Xenopus tropicalis: one gene and its partners. The protein of the gene in region 1 binds, or shares a complex with, the protein of each later gene. Links are inferred from orthologs where the notes say so. Each region holds a gene or a part of one and is shown in the gene's direction. Other genes may lie near its edges.

What was found.
Region 2: epc1 (region 1) and ing3 share a complex: the UniProt entries of both Homo sapiens proteins name them as parts of the nuA4 histone acetyltransferase complex. The link is inferred for Xenopus tropicalis from reciprocal best matches to the Homo sapiens genes EPC1 and ING3.
Region 3: epc1 (region 1) and mbtd1 share a complex: the UniProt entries of both Homo sapiens proteins name them as parts of the nuA4 histone acetyltransferase complex. The link is inferred for Xenopus tropicalis from reciprocal best matches to the Homo sapiens genes EPC1 and MBTD1.

What each region holds. Positions count from the first base shown.
Region 1 is NC_030682.2:22,943,313-22,946,812, forward strand, and holds part of epc1 (enhancer of polycomb homolog 1), read left to right. Parts: intron 1-442; coding exon 443-590; intron 591-1,095; coding exon 1,096-1,257; intron 1,258-1,646; coding exon 1,647-1,736; intron 1,737-1,822; coding exon 1,823-1,971; intron 1,972-3,472; coding exon 3,473-3,500. UniProt on the Homo sapiens protein: Component of the NuA4 histone acetyltransferase (HAT) complex, a multiprotein complex involved in transcriptional activation of select genes principally by acetylation of nucleosomal histones H4 and H2A.
Region 2 is NC_030679.2:69,340,180-69,344,399, forward strand, and holds the start of ing3 (inhibitor of growth protein 3), read left to right. Parts: upstream 1-1,420; 5' UTR 1,421-1,488; coding exon 1,489-1,516; intron 1,517-1,633; coding exon 1,634-1,705; intron 1,706-1,756; exon of another isoform or gene 1,757-2,804; intron 2,805-2,914; coding exon 2,915-3,015; intron 3,016-4,189; coding exon 4,190-4,220. UniProt on the Homo sapiens protein: Component of the NuA4 histone acetyltransferase (HAT) complex which is involved in transcriptional activation of select genes principally by acetylation of nucleosomal histones H4 and H2A.
Region 3 is NC_030686.2:23,317,743-23,321,976, reverse strand, and holds the start of mbtd1 (MBT domain-containing protein 1), read left to right. Parts: upstream 1-1,434; 5' UTR 1,435-1,544; coding exon 1,545-1,565; intron 1,566-3,391; coding exon 3,392-3,593; intron 3,594-4,234. Other genes in the region: utp18 (U3 small nucleolar RNA-associated protein 18 homolog), read right to left, coding at 71-295. UniProt on the Homo sapiens protein: Chromatin reader component of the NuA4 histone acetyltransferase complex, a multiprotein complex involved in transcriptional activation of select genes principally by acetylation of nucleosomal histones H4 and H2A.

The sequences.
Region 1 (3,500 bases):
CCCCATTTAAGTTCTAGCCTGTACTTGTTGCTTTTGCTACAGGTGCCTGACTCTGTGCTGAAGTTCCTTGCTTATTTAAATTATTTCTAGAGTGCTGTGCAATATGATTTGTAACTGGTTTTTAAACATAACCAGCTATATGAGCACAATGTTGGATGAGGAGCTCCACCTACTGGTTGGCACAGGCAAATTCACCTCAGCGCAATAACACAACTTTATTCAGCCTGATTACAGCTTGAAACGGTTTAAGTAGGGTACAGTGTACATCTGGTGGCTTCTGTTAATATTAAATGCTTACTACTATACTATTTAATTTTTTGGGGGAAAAAATAGCCAAAATAGGGTTAGCATACATTTTTGAAACCATTTTTATTGATTTTTTTTTTTATTTTTTTTAAATTAAGCACTATTTTAGTAGCCGTTTTTTTCTCTCTTTATTCAGGTATAACTTAGGGGACTTTAATGGCGAAATTCTATCAGAGGTTATGGCACATCGTCAACCATTGAAGCCCACCTATACTATCCCCCTCATGCCTATTTCTCCTATTCCATTTTTACATAAAGAAACAATAGATATTAAAGTTAATAAGGTAAGATTTGTTTATTTCACATAGTGTTTTTAACATTACCTTAATACTGGATTTTGTGGGTTCATGAATTTACAGACCATTCAGGAAACATGTTTCATTTATTAGATATATGCAAACCACTTGACCTGGTTAACTGCCTTGTCCTACTGTGACAAATTAAACGTGACCTTAGAATACAGCCACTCAGCACGGGAAACAATTTAAATACAACATCATCGAAGCTACAGGATAAAAAGATAGAGAAAAAGAATTATGCACTCACCATTTTTATTTCTCCGTATAAAGAGAATATATCTTTATAGTGGCTAATATATAATGTTTTGTATTGGTTTCCTGGTGAAGGCACATTTTGTGGAACTAGTGATAAGCGAGGATATTAATTGTGAGCAGTTCACATAAGCAAAGCACAGTTCTATCTTATAAATGGCGATTATTATAGACTGATGTCTGTAACAGTTATTAAATAACTGAATTCATATTTTAAGACCATTCAAATTCATTTTAGCAAGAAAAATCTGATGCTGTTCGACCGAAAAGAAAATATGAGAAGAAGCCCAAAGTCTTACCTGCTGCTCAACAGACAAGTCCTGCTGCACTGCCAGTGTTTAATGCTAAGGATCTGAATCAGTATGACTTTCCCAGCTCTGATGATGAACCTCTCTCCCAGGTATGCTGCTTTTATTATTTCAGGCTTCAATAAGTGTAATTGTGCCTCTTGAGACAGTCCTTTTGGGGGACATGCAGTGGTTGTTGGGGGCTAAGTAATGTAGGTGAGATTTGAGGTAAGGTTTTAGTTATTGGCTAGACACTCCTAAAACTGTTGCACACCTAATGTTAGTCTGTCTATAAAGATGTACGCACACACCGGTTTCTTGCATAAGTTTTATTAAGTGTTACATCACATTCCCGATTACATCCGCTAGTGAAATAATAAGATCTTCACAAAGCAGTGAAAGGCAAATGTTCAGGAAAGCTGTCAAAATAAGTCATTGCAATGAGTAATAGGAAATGTTGAGCATGATCTTCACTGGTGTTTTTTTCTGGTTTCTTTACCAGGTCATGTCTGGCTCCTCAGAGGCTGAGGAAGAAAATGATCCAGATGGTCCATTTGCTTTCCGTAGGAAAGCTGGCTGTAATTACTATGCTGTAAGTAACAGTCCTCATGCCTATACACAGACAAGTGGTGTTTGTTGTATACTAATAATAAAGGTTTTCCTCCTTGTAATTCCAAGCCACATTTGGACCAAACTGGCAACTGGCCATGGTGTAGTCCTGAGGAAGGAGGTCTTGGAGAAATTCGCTATAGATACTGCCTCACTACTCTCACTGTTCCCCGCAAGTGTATTGGATTTGCGCGAAGACGGGTTGGACGTGGTGGAAGGTAAGATATCTTGTTAAATACATTATAGCTGCTTTATCATCTGTAAGGTTACCGTAGTGACGGCTATATACTTTGTTGGCCCAGGTAATTACAGATGAGGTAATTTACCTAAAAATCTGGTTGTGCCAATGTGTGTCTCCTCTTTTAAAGGAGAAGGAAAGGTAAAAACCAAGTAAGCTTAATCAGAAAGGTCCATGTAAGTACACCTCACTCACATAAAAGCTGCACTGAGTCTTCTATCAAAAGAAACTCAGAAATTCTTTTTTTTTTATTGTTTAAACTTGTTCTTTGCTATCTCACTTCCTCTCGGAAAAAAATCCTTCAGAGCAGGGCACAAGTCTGTGCACCTCGCTCCCCCTCCCAACCGTGCTGTGTAATCTAAGCTACCAGCAGCTGGAGCTGCAGCACGGAAACTACTGAGACCAAGCTAAATTGGCAGCTACTATCTCAAAAAAAACAGAGGGAGCTTCTAGGGCTGTTTACTCTGATATGGTAAAGCTTTTTGCAGAACAAATATAGCGTTCTAGCTTGCACTAATGTGGCGAAAATATTTGCTGTAAAATGTCAAAATACCTTTCCTTGTCCTTTAAGGCTGGGCCAGCTAGGCATGAGAGCAAGTGGCAGAATGTGAAGCACCATATATCATTTATTTTGTCTGGAACTGCACCACATCCCTTTACATTTTATACTTTCAAAACTTTGTTTCATGCACCTACCTATGTTTAATTTAGAAGAAGATTTTAAATATTGCTCTATTTCCTATTTTTTAGAAACAGAATGCTTAAGTGTAATTAATACTGTCTCTTATTAAAGGACATGTAAACTCCACACACACAAATTTAATCAGTGAACAGCCTCTTTGAAATCTTTCAATACCTGCCACACTGGTTGTCCAGAGGTTAATAGTAAGGCTGCAACATCCCCTTAATCACTTAGATTTCCTTCTCCTCCTGTAACCCACTCAGCCCCCGCCCTCAGGAATTTGCTTTGGCTGTTGGCTTGTGGACATGCTCAGATTACTAAACACGCCCCCCAGTCTAGCAGCCAGTGAAGAGATGGCATTGCTGCTTCCTATAGAAACTCAGCTCTAGCTGTCTGCTTCAATTGTTTTCTCCTGAGCTCAGCTTTACCATTACAGTGCTCAAACAAAGCAGAACTTTTATCAAAGACATTTGTGCCTGTGTGAGCCTGTATCCTTGATGAAATGTATGCTGAATAAGAGTTTTTGTGTGTGTAGGCTGTTTGCAGATTTAAATGTATCAGAGAAATAATGGCCACCAGGTGAAAGCTGCTATTTGGTTTAGGAAAATGTGATGGTGCTGGCAAACGGAGGGGATATATGCAGTACAAATGATGCCATTTGGGTGGGGAAAATGTGCCCAACTGATAGACATTGTAGGCAAATGTAGGCTTTACATGTCCTTTAATGCAATCAAAGCTTGTTTTCAGTCTGTTTATAATTTGAGGGTTAAACTCTATTTCCCAATCTTTGTTTCTACAGGGTGCTCCTTGACAGAGCCCATTCAGAC
Region 2 (4,220 bases), on another chromosome or scaffold:
GTAATATTAAAGAGCAGAAGCATGAAGTGGAATAGGGATTTGAATAAAACCGAGAAGCCTGTAACTGTTTTGTCGCATGCTGTATCCCATAAAATACCATAAGTTCCTGGTTTTAAATTGATACTGAAAATTAAAAACTACTCAAACTATTAATGTACATTAATAAGTATTAATTAGTAAGCCTGACTGTTTTGCTGACCTGACTGTCACTTCTCAACTTGTCTGTTATAGCTTCTTATGTTGATCAAGTGGGATCAGATAGGTAATATAAAAGCATTGGGCAAATACTCTTAAGGAAACCATTATAAATAGCATCCAAATACAATGTTATGACAGATGGTTTAAATTCTGGTGTCAGTAACTCTTTAAGATTTTCCTACTAATGCTCCAACTGATAAATAGATCACCAGGATAAGAAAATGGGGTGAAAGTTCTTAAGTGTGGTGAGTTAATAGCAGATGATTTTATTTTTATTAAGTTCTACATTTTCTATGAAAAAAATGCTGTCCTTCCTATATGCTATATATACAGGGTGTTGCTTTTTATAGAAAAATATAAAATTATTTGAATATTGGTGATTTCAAAACACTAGTTATCTTTGATCCCTAATAACACTAACAATAGGTAAATGATTAGATTTAGGCACAGGCCTCGACTAGGGTTCAAAATAGGCTATAGAATTTCAGGTACACAGAGGCCCAAACAGCCCCCCACAAGCCCACTAAATAGTGACTATCTACAGCATGTTACAGCAGCCCCTCTGGCAGTTGCCAGAATCCACACATTGCCAGTCTGGGCCTCTATGGGCCCAACCGTGTGCAAACAAAAATGAAGGGATGTCACCTGGCTGGAATTGTACCATGACATTTAGTAAAAATTACACTTGTCAATGCAAAGTCAAAGCAGCTCTAGTTTCCTGGGTTTCATTTTGACCAGGGAATTAACGTCCTGGCATTTTAGGTCTTGGTGGATGTGTTCCAAAACTTATTTTCCTCTCACACAACTAAAAATACAGGTAGGTTATTTGGCTCAAGATGAAACTAACTAAAGCAGGTATATGTGGTATTGACTATTCCACTGAGCATTGTCTACAAACAATCTTGGCTCTTTCCCTTCTTCCACCATTTTACACACCGATGAACTACCACCTAGTTTTATATTATTTTATTAAAGTATATTTAAAATAATCATCCATTCTTCAATAATAAAAACCACTCCTAATCCCACAGCCTAAAGTTTCTCTTCTTCTAAAGAACCTCGGCCAAGCAAAAACAAAAGTGAGTATAGCGCAAACTGACAAAAATACTACAATCCCCATAGTGCCCTGCGGCATTAAAAGGCGTTGACATCGGAAGTGCGAGCAGCCAGCGCATGCGCCAAGCAGCTGCTGTTCTCCTTTTCTGTTCTGCAGCTCCTGACTCGGCGCCATATTGTCTGGGAAAAATAGTCATCCGTTGCTGAGGCCTTTGCGTTCGTGAAATCGAAAATATGTTGTACCTGGAGGATTATCTGGAGAGTGAGTTTGCCTTTCGTGCTATGAACGGCGCAAAGTGCGCCACAGAGAGGGCTACGGCTTTAATCAGCAACACCCCCTATTAACCGCCCTCTCCCCCTCCCTTCTGTCTCTCTGCAGTGATCGAGCAGCTTCCCATGGATCTGCGCGACAGGTTCACGGAAATGCGCGAGATGGACTTGCAGGTGCAGAGTACGTGAGCGGCTTTCGGCTCTTTATCCGACGACTAACGGGTGTATGTGTGTGGCCTGGTGACTCCAGGCCCGGAAACATGTGGTTGTGTCGGTGGCAGAGGTAGCGCCAGCAGCTAAAGCACCATGTACATCCAGTGCAGTGCTGTGGTTGGTCGCTAGGAGGAAGTACTGAGCTGTCTCACACGTGCCCTTTTAGCACCAAAACAAATCCCAATTGCTTGCCCAGTATTGTACATCGGTGCGTCGAGCAGGCAATATTAGATACTCAGCATCTTGATTTGTAAAATAAAACGCAGTCTACAGTGTGTCTGTTTGTTTCCCACAGATTCATAGTATTCAGAAACTCGTTTTGTATCACTAGGGGTTCATCACAATAAAGTTTATATTGTTTTGTTATAATTGAAAACTCAAAATGGAGGAAACACTCTATAGCTCAGGGCTATAGCCCCCTTTGGAATTGCTAAGTTAGAGTTAATGAATTGAACATTAAAGGCATAATGACCTGAAATAAAGTGTGCCTTTGTCCTTGCACAATTTGTACTAAACCTGTTTGTTAGGTTTCATCTGCTCCATTATCTGCTGTGCCTTTCAGCAGGGATTACTGTCAAGTAAACTTTATTTTTGCTCCAGATACTGATTCCTCTTCCTTGTAAATAGGTTCATTTAACTTATATATAGCTATAAAACAAGATGTTCTACATGTCATGCATCATTATTTTGCAGCTGTGTGCAGTGTTCCCTATAGTTTGTGTAAGGTCTGCAAGCAAATACTTTATTTTATGCTCATGGGTGATGGGTTAGGGAGGGCCAGCCTTTCTCAAAAAAGAGAGAAACTGACATATAGCATATATAGCTTTAAACTGTCTCATGGAAAGCCATCTATTGGTAGCCTCAACAAACATACAAAAAACTCACTCTTTTCCCCTGTTTGTATTAGTTCTAAAACAATTGTGTCCAAGCAGGTGCTGAATTACATGCACAGTCGCTAAATCTGTTGTGTGTTTTGGTGGGGTTGTACCATCTGTGCACATAGTGTCAGTGGAATATTGACTGTATGAAGATGTGCTTGTATCAGAAATCGGCATACAACTTTTAAGGTTAATTTATAATCAACTTCCAACATACAATATTAAAATTCACAGTAAAGATAAGGTTGAAGATTTGAGGTTTGTTGCTTGAAATTTGTAATTGATTCTTTGTAATACAGATGCCATGGACCAATTAGAACAAAGGGTTGGGGAGTTTTTCATGAATGCTAAGAAAAATAAACCGGAATGGAGGGAAGAACAAATGGCTTCTATCAAAAAGGTTAGTGCAAAAAGAAAATTTGTTGTATCTGTAGCAAACTATTTATACAGAGGTATCCAACTTTGAATTTATTGACTACACAAGGAATGATTTATCTTTATTCATTCTTGACATATTTTGCACTTGAGAGATGTTGCAGAACGTTTCTGAACTTTTAATTCTCCTGCATTTATTATTCATCATTTCAATTTTTTATGCATTAAAACATCCAAGACATTTTTTGACAACTGCACAAGGTTCTGTAAGAAGTCAGACTTCGACTTCAAACTTTCGAACGTTTACAAAAAATTGTTGCTTAGAATTACATTTTCTTTACTTGGCAAAATATTATTTTTTGGCTTAGATCCCCTTCAAATGTATGCAGTTTATTTGCATATGGTGTTATTTTTTGTTATGTGTTATATTTTGACAAGTGTAATAATTAATATTTACTTGAACAAATAAGCTTATATAACTTTATATAGTGCTTGTAAATTCTGAGCTATATGTATCTTAAAGGACCAGTAACATCAAAAAGTGACAATATATTCTTATATTCATTTCAATTGTGAATTTGTTGATGAAGCACCTCCAAATAAAAATTTATTTGCAACATTATGTTTTATATGTCAGAGGTTTCAGTATATTGTTCAGTAGCGAGCCATAACTGACATCTGTCTCCTGTTTATCTTTGTACTAGTGAAGGATAACAGTACATTACGTTTAAATGCATGTATTTTTGGTGTTACTATTTTTTTGGTACATTAATTTTACAAGTAGGTATCATTGGTAGATCCTGTACAGTACAAGATGGCAGCTGCATACTCTTTACATTATTACTTTAAATTATTAAATATATTGTTTGGTATTTCATTATGCTGAATATAACATTTAAGGAGGGGAAACAGTACAAATAATTCATGCAAAAAGGTATGGCAGTTTGAGATTTGGTTGTCATATACATTTGCATATGTATTGTGTGTATTTTACCTATTTTTAAACTTCCATATATAATAAAAAGGTTGCCCATGTGCAGCCCATAAAATGTCTGCGTTTAAACAGATGATCAGTAAAAAAAAAAAAAAAACTACCTAGTGACTTATCACTGAGTGCTACTGTCCCAGGCCAAATTTAGTACCTTTTAGTACATAACACCATATGAATTTTTGACTTAGTGTGAATTATTTACTTGCAGGATTACTTCAAAGCTTTGGAAGATGCAGATG
Region 3 (4,234 bases), on another chromosome or scaffold:
GGGGTGTAAGGTCGGAGATAGATTCACTGGTGGGGAAGCCTAACACATTGCTATTAGAGAGTACTATTACCTTTGAATGACCAATAAGCTTTTCCACAAATTCATCTTCACCCCCAAAAACTAATTCTTCTAAAATCGTATCTGTCTCTGGTTTGTCTGCCAAAGCCTTTAAATGTTTGGTCCTCAGCTCCTCCTCCTCCTTCATGTTTTGCTCTTGCTCTGGAGATTTGTCTCTTCGCCTTTTCTTATGGGAAGTCTTCTTTCTTTCATTTTCATTACCCTCGATAGAAAGCATTTCCACAGCAGAATCTGTAAAACCAGCATAAATAAAAAAACATTAAAGTTATAAAAACTCATTTTAAATTATCTAAATACAAGCCATGTTATAAATTGATACAGAGCTAATGTTTACTCAAAAAGTTCAACAAAAACATAGTAGTTTCTTAAAAAGTAACCCAAAGCACTTTCAGATTAGTCCCTGTGGCAGCACAGATTTACCACAAGTAACTAATCTCCCCTAGTATGCCATCTTCCAGTTGCTAATACAAACCAGCCATGTTATAAATTGATACAGAGCTAATGTTTACGCAAAAAGTTGCTAATAGGTAATAGTTAAAAAGTTGCCTAGGTAATTTGGACCTTAGCAACCAGATAGCTGCTAAAACTCCCAACTATATTGCTGCTAAACAAAACTAATGATATAATAATAATAATAAAAGTCATTGCAAAGGTTAACTACCAGTTCTAGCAGAATGCCCACATATGAAATACACAAAATGAGAGGTGAATGCTGGCTGCTAATCTGTATTCTTCTAAAATAATAACTGATCACTTCTGCAATAGGTGTTTTTATGAGTGAACCGTATTTTTAAGAGATACAGTAGTAACCGTATCAATCTGGCTAGTTTGCAATATACAATATACAATTCCAAAAAAAAAACCTGACGGCAAAAATAGAAATGCTTAGCAAGTAAACAGGAGGGACGTGCCTCTTGAGTCTCAACAACGTGTGCAAATGCCAATATAAAACATGCACAAGACACCGTTTTCTTTCGCAGATATAAAGCTGAACGTTCCACTCACTGTGCCCAACGCACGTGGAACTTCCGGTGACCTTTGCCCTCTACAACCCGGAAATACATGTTTCTAGCGAAAGAGACGCAGCAAGATAATTTACCTTGTACCTTTCGAGTGTACTTAAACTTGTATATCCGAAAAAGCCCTTACTGCACCGCTACGTGAAACAATCCGTTTTTAGCACTTTCCGACGTTCTAAGTACTTCCGTAATAGCTACAAGCCACCGGAAGCCACGGCACCCGAAACGTGCCAAACTAGGTTATTCGCGGAGGCACGGCTCTTACTATATAAACCCGCAGCCAATTGCTGTAGGTTTAGCGTTGCGCCTGCGCAGTAAAGTGTTTCTGGTTTTGTTGATATTTTGAAGGAGTTCATTGTTTTGCTCTTTTTTTAGTCTCTATTTTCTTGGATTGTCCCAGCCCGCTGACAGCGGGGGCTGCATACACGATTTCCTCATGAGGGACTAATGGAAAAGACCAAGGATCTGGTAAGTAAAGGGCACGGGGTGTATGGAAGTGCTGCTGCCCTGGCTCTTTTGTTGTCATTTCTGTATGCAACGAGGCCTTGTGGTTTCTGGGAAGTGAGGGTAGTTTGGGCTGGGGCCAGGGTACCGTGCGTTTGGAAACCGGACAAAATGTGTTTAACACTAAGCCTCATGTACAATAAAGTCCTTAAGAAGAGGGTATAGCAAGCCAGCAGGATATAGGCATGTTAAACTCAACACTCCAGCTCTCAGCCTGACTGCTGTTGGTATGCTTGCACTTTCTACATGTACACTCATGATGCTCAGTAAGGTAAAGGTAGGGAATTGGTACCAAAGCCCAACAGATAGGAATTATACACACCTTCCATCTCATTTGCCACTTTGTTGACTTAGTAACTATTAAAAGTAAAGTTATGCCTATGTGTTCATATATGGTGCATTCCACACAATAATTCAGCAACGCATGCATAGGAGCTCAAGTTGCTCTTGAAAGTGTATTATGTTGTGCATTAGGCAAAAAAATAGGCAGACTGATGATCAGTGTGGGAAGTAATGAAAGGCCTTTGTGTGCTATACATTTATTAGGGGAATTCATAAATATAACGTCTGTTTTACACTAATTTTGTAACCCATTGTCCCTAATCTGCAAATGCTTCTGAGCAATTAGCAGTTTAATGTTTTGGCAACCTTGCCAAACAAGTGGGTCCCATAGCTGCTTCCACAGAGTGTAATAGAAGTTCTTTGCTGTGTGTGAGTGTGTGATTTATGGTTATAAGGCACTAACCTGACACTAGGGCTGAAGGCTAAAAGACAGTCTTCAGTTTCACTGTGGAAGCAGTTTATTTTGTTTTCAATGTTGTTCTTTGAATTCTCAACTTCCAGTCTCTGCACACAGCCCTGAACCAGGCTAACAATGTGGGTTCCAGCTATCAACCCAGCCATTTGTTTGCCTCTTCTGTGTTGGTTCATTTGTATTACCTATCTGTTATTATTAGAAGCCAGAAATTGTTAGAATATGTAAAGATTTTTTTACACACTTTTAAATAGTGCATACTTATTTCATTTGTCAGAATCACATATGCTAGTCAAGGCTAAAGTCTGTGTACTGTACTAGTGCATTATTAAACCTTGACTGTTGTAGTTATGTTGTAGAGCCAGTAATTCCACAAATCAGTAGTTCAAAATGATGCTGGGTTTTGTCGCTTTCTTTATGGGAATTGAGATTGGCATTGTCACCTGGTAATTAAGAAGATGCTTGATGCCAATAGGGAAGAAAGGATGGGTTTTATTTTATTCTTTTATCCTGTTTTATTCAGTGAGATGTTCATGTAGAAATCTTTGTGTTTGTATCCAGTAATGTTGCCTTAAGGTTGCTTATGTAGCTAAACTAGTCAAACTAGAAAGGCAACCAGTTCTTGCAGAGAAGGGGAGGATCCTAGACCAACCTACCTTTTCTGAAGAACAAAATCGGCATATTCACATGGGATTTTTTTATTGTAATTATCGCAATGAAAGCAAAAACAAGTTGCTATGGTTTCTGTGCTAGAGCGATATTTTGCTTCTTCTGCTTCCCATCAATCTCCATTAAACATTCATTGCACAGAGCCATTCCAGAATTACTCAACCCAGTATGAGTGTCTTTTTCCTATAATATATGTAAGAAAATACAGGTTTGCATTTTGGCCCCTGCTGAAGTCTTTCCAGTGAAGGAAAGGTTGCTTGGGGCAGAGAATATAGCAACTAGAAATCCATCTAGAAGTTGGGTTTGGTAACAGCAACCAAAGCTATAAAGTCAATTGAAATTCCTTTTTTCTTTTATACATGTTTAGGCTGATCTTTCTTCACTTTCTGAGAGAAAACGTCGGGACTCATTCGGAATGTTTGACGGATATGATAGCTGCAGTGAGGACACCAGCAGCAGTTCCAGCTCGGATGAGAGTGAAGAGGAAGTCGCCCCCTTGCCATCCAGTCTGCCCATTATCAAAAACAATGGGCAGGTTTACACATACCCAGATGGCAAATCAGGAATGGGTATGTAAAGTGATTTTATGTTCAAAGAAAAAGGGATATGTGCAAATGATGAGCCATTTCTCTCAATGTGCTCTAGTTGAAGGAACAGTGTTGCCCTGCACTGGTAAAAGTTGTCTGTTGTTGCAGAAACGCTTCTGCAGTTTATTTAAACAAAGCTGCTGTGTAGCCATGGGGGTAGCTATTCAAATTGAAACAGGGCTAAATGGCACAGGTTACATTGCTATAACAGTTAAGCTCTGTAAAACACCATTGTATCTTACAGACCTCATCTGCTGTGCATTTTCTCAATTGCTCAGCTTGAATTGCTTCCCCCGTGGCTATACAATTGCAAACACACAACTTTTACCAGTGCAGGACAACAGCACATTATATTTTAATTACTTTAAAACACTTTTTAAATTGTTGATGTTTCTTTAAAGCAAGTTGTAAAATTGCAGTAACAACAAAGCAAACTTTGCTTCTCTCTGCACGTACTTTTAATACTTACTGGAAAATCAATGTAAATAATTATTGTGAAAACATTTTCACAGGGAAAATTATTTTATCAAGTTCAGATTTTTCTTTCTTTTCTGTACACAAAAGGAAGATGTATTACTCAGTGTTGTGTGCACTGCAGAGCTATTGGCTTTCTTTTTTAATGT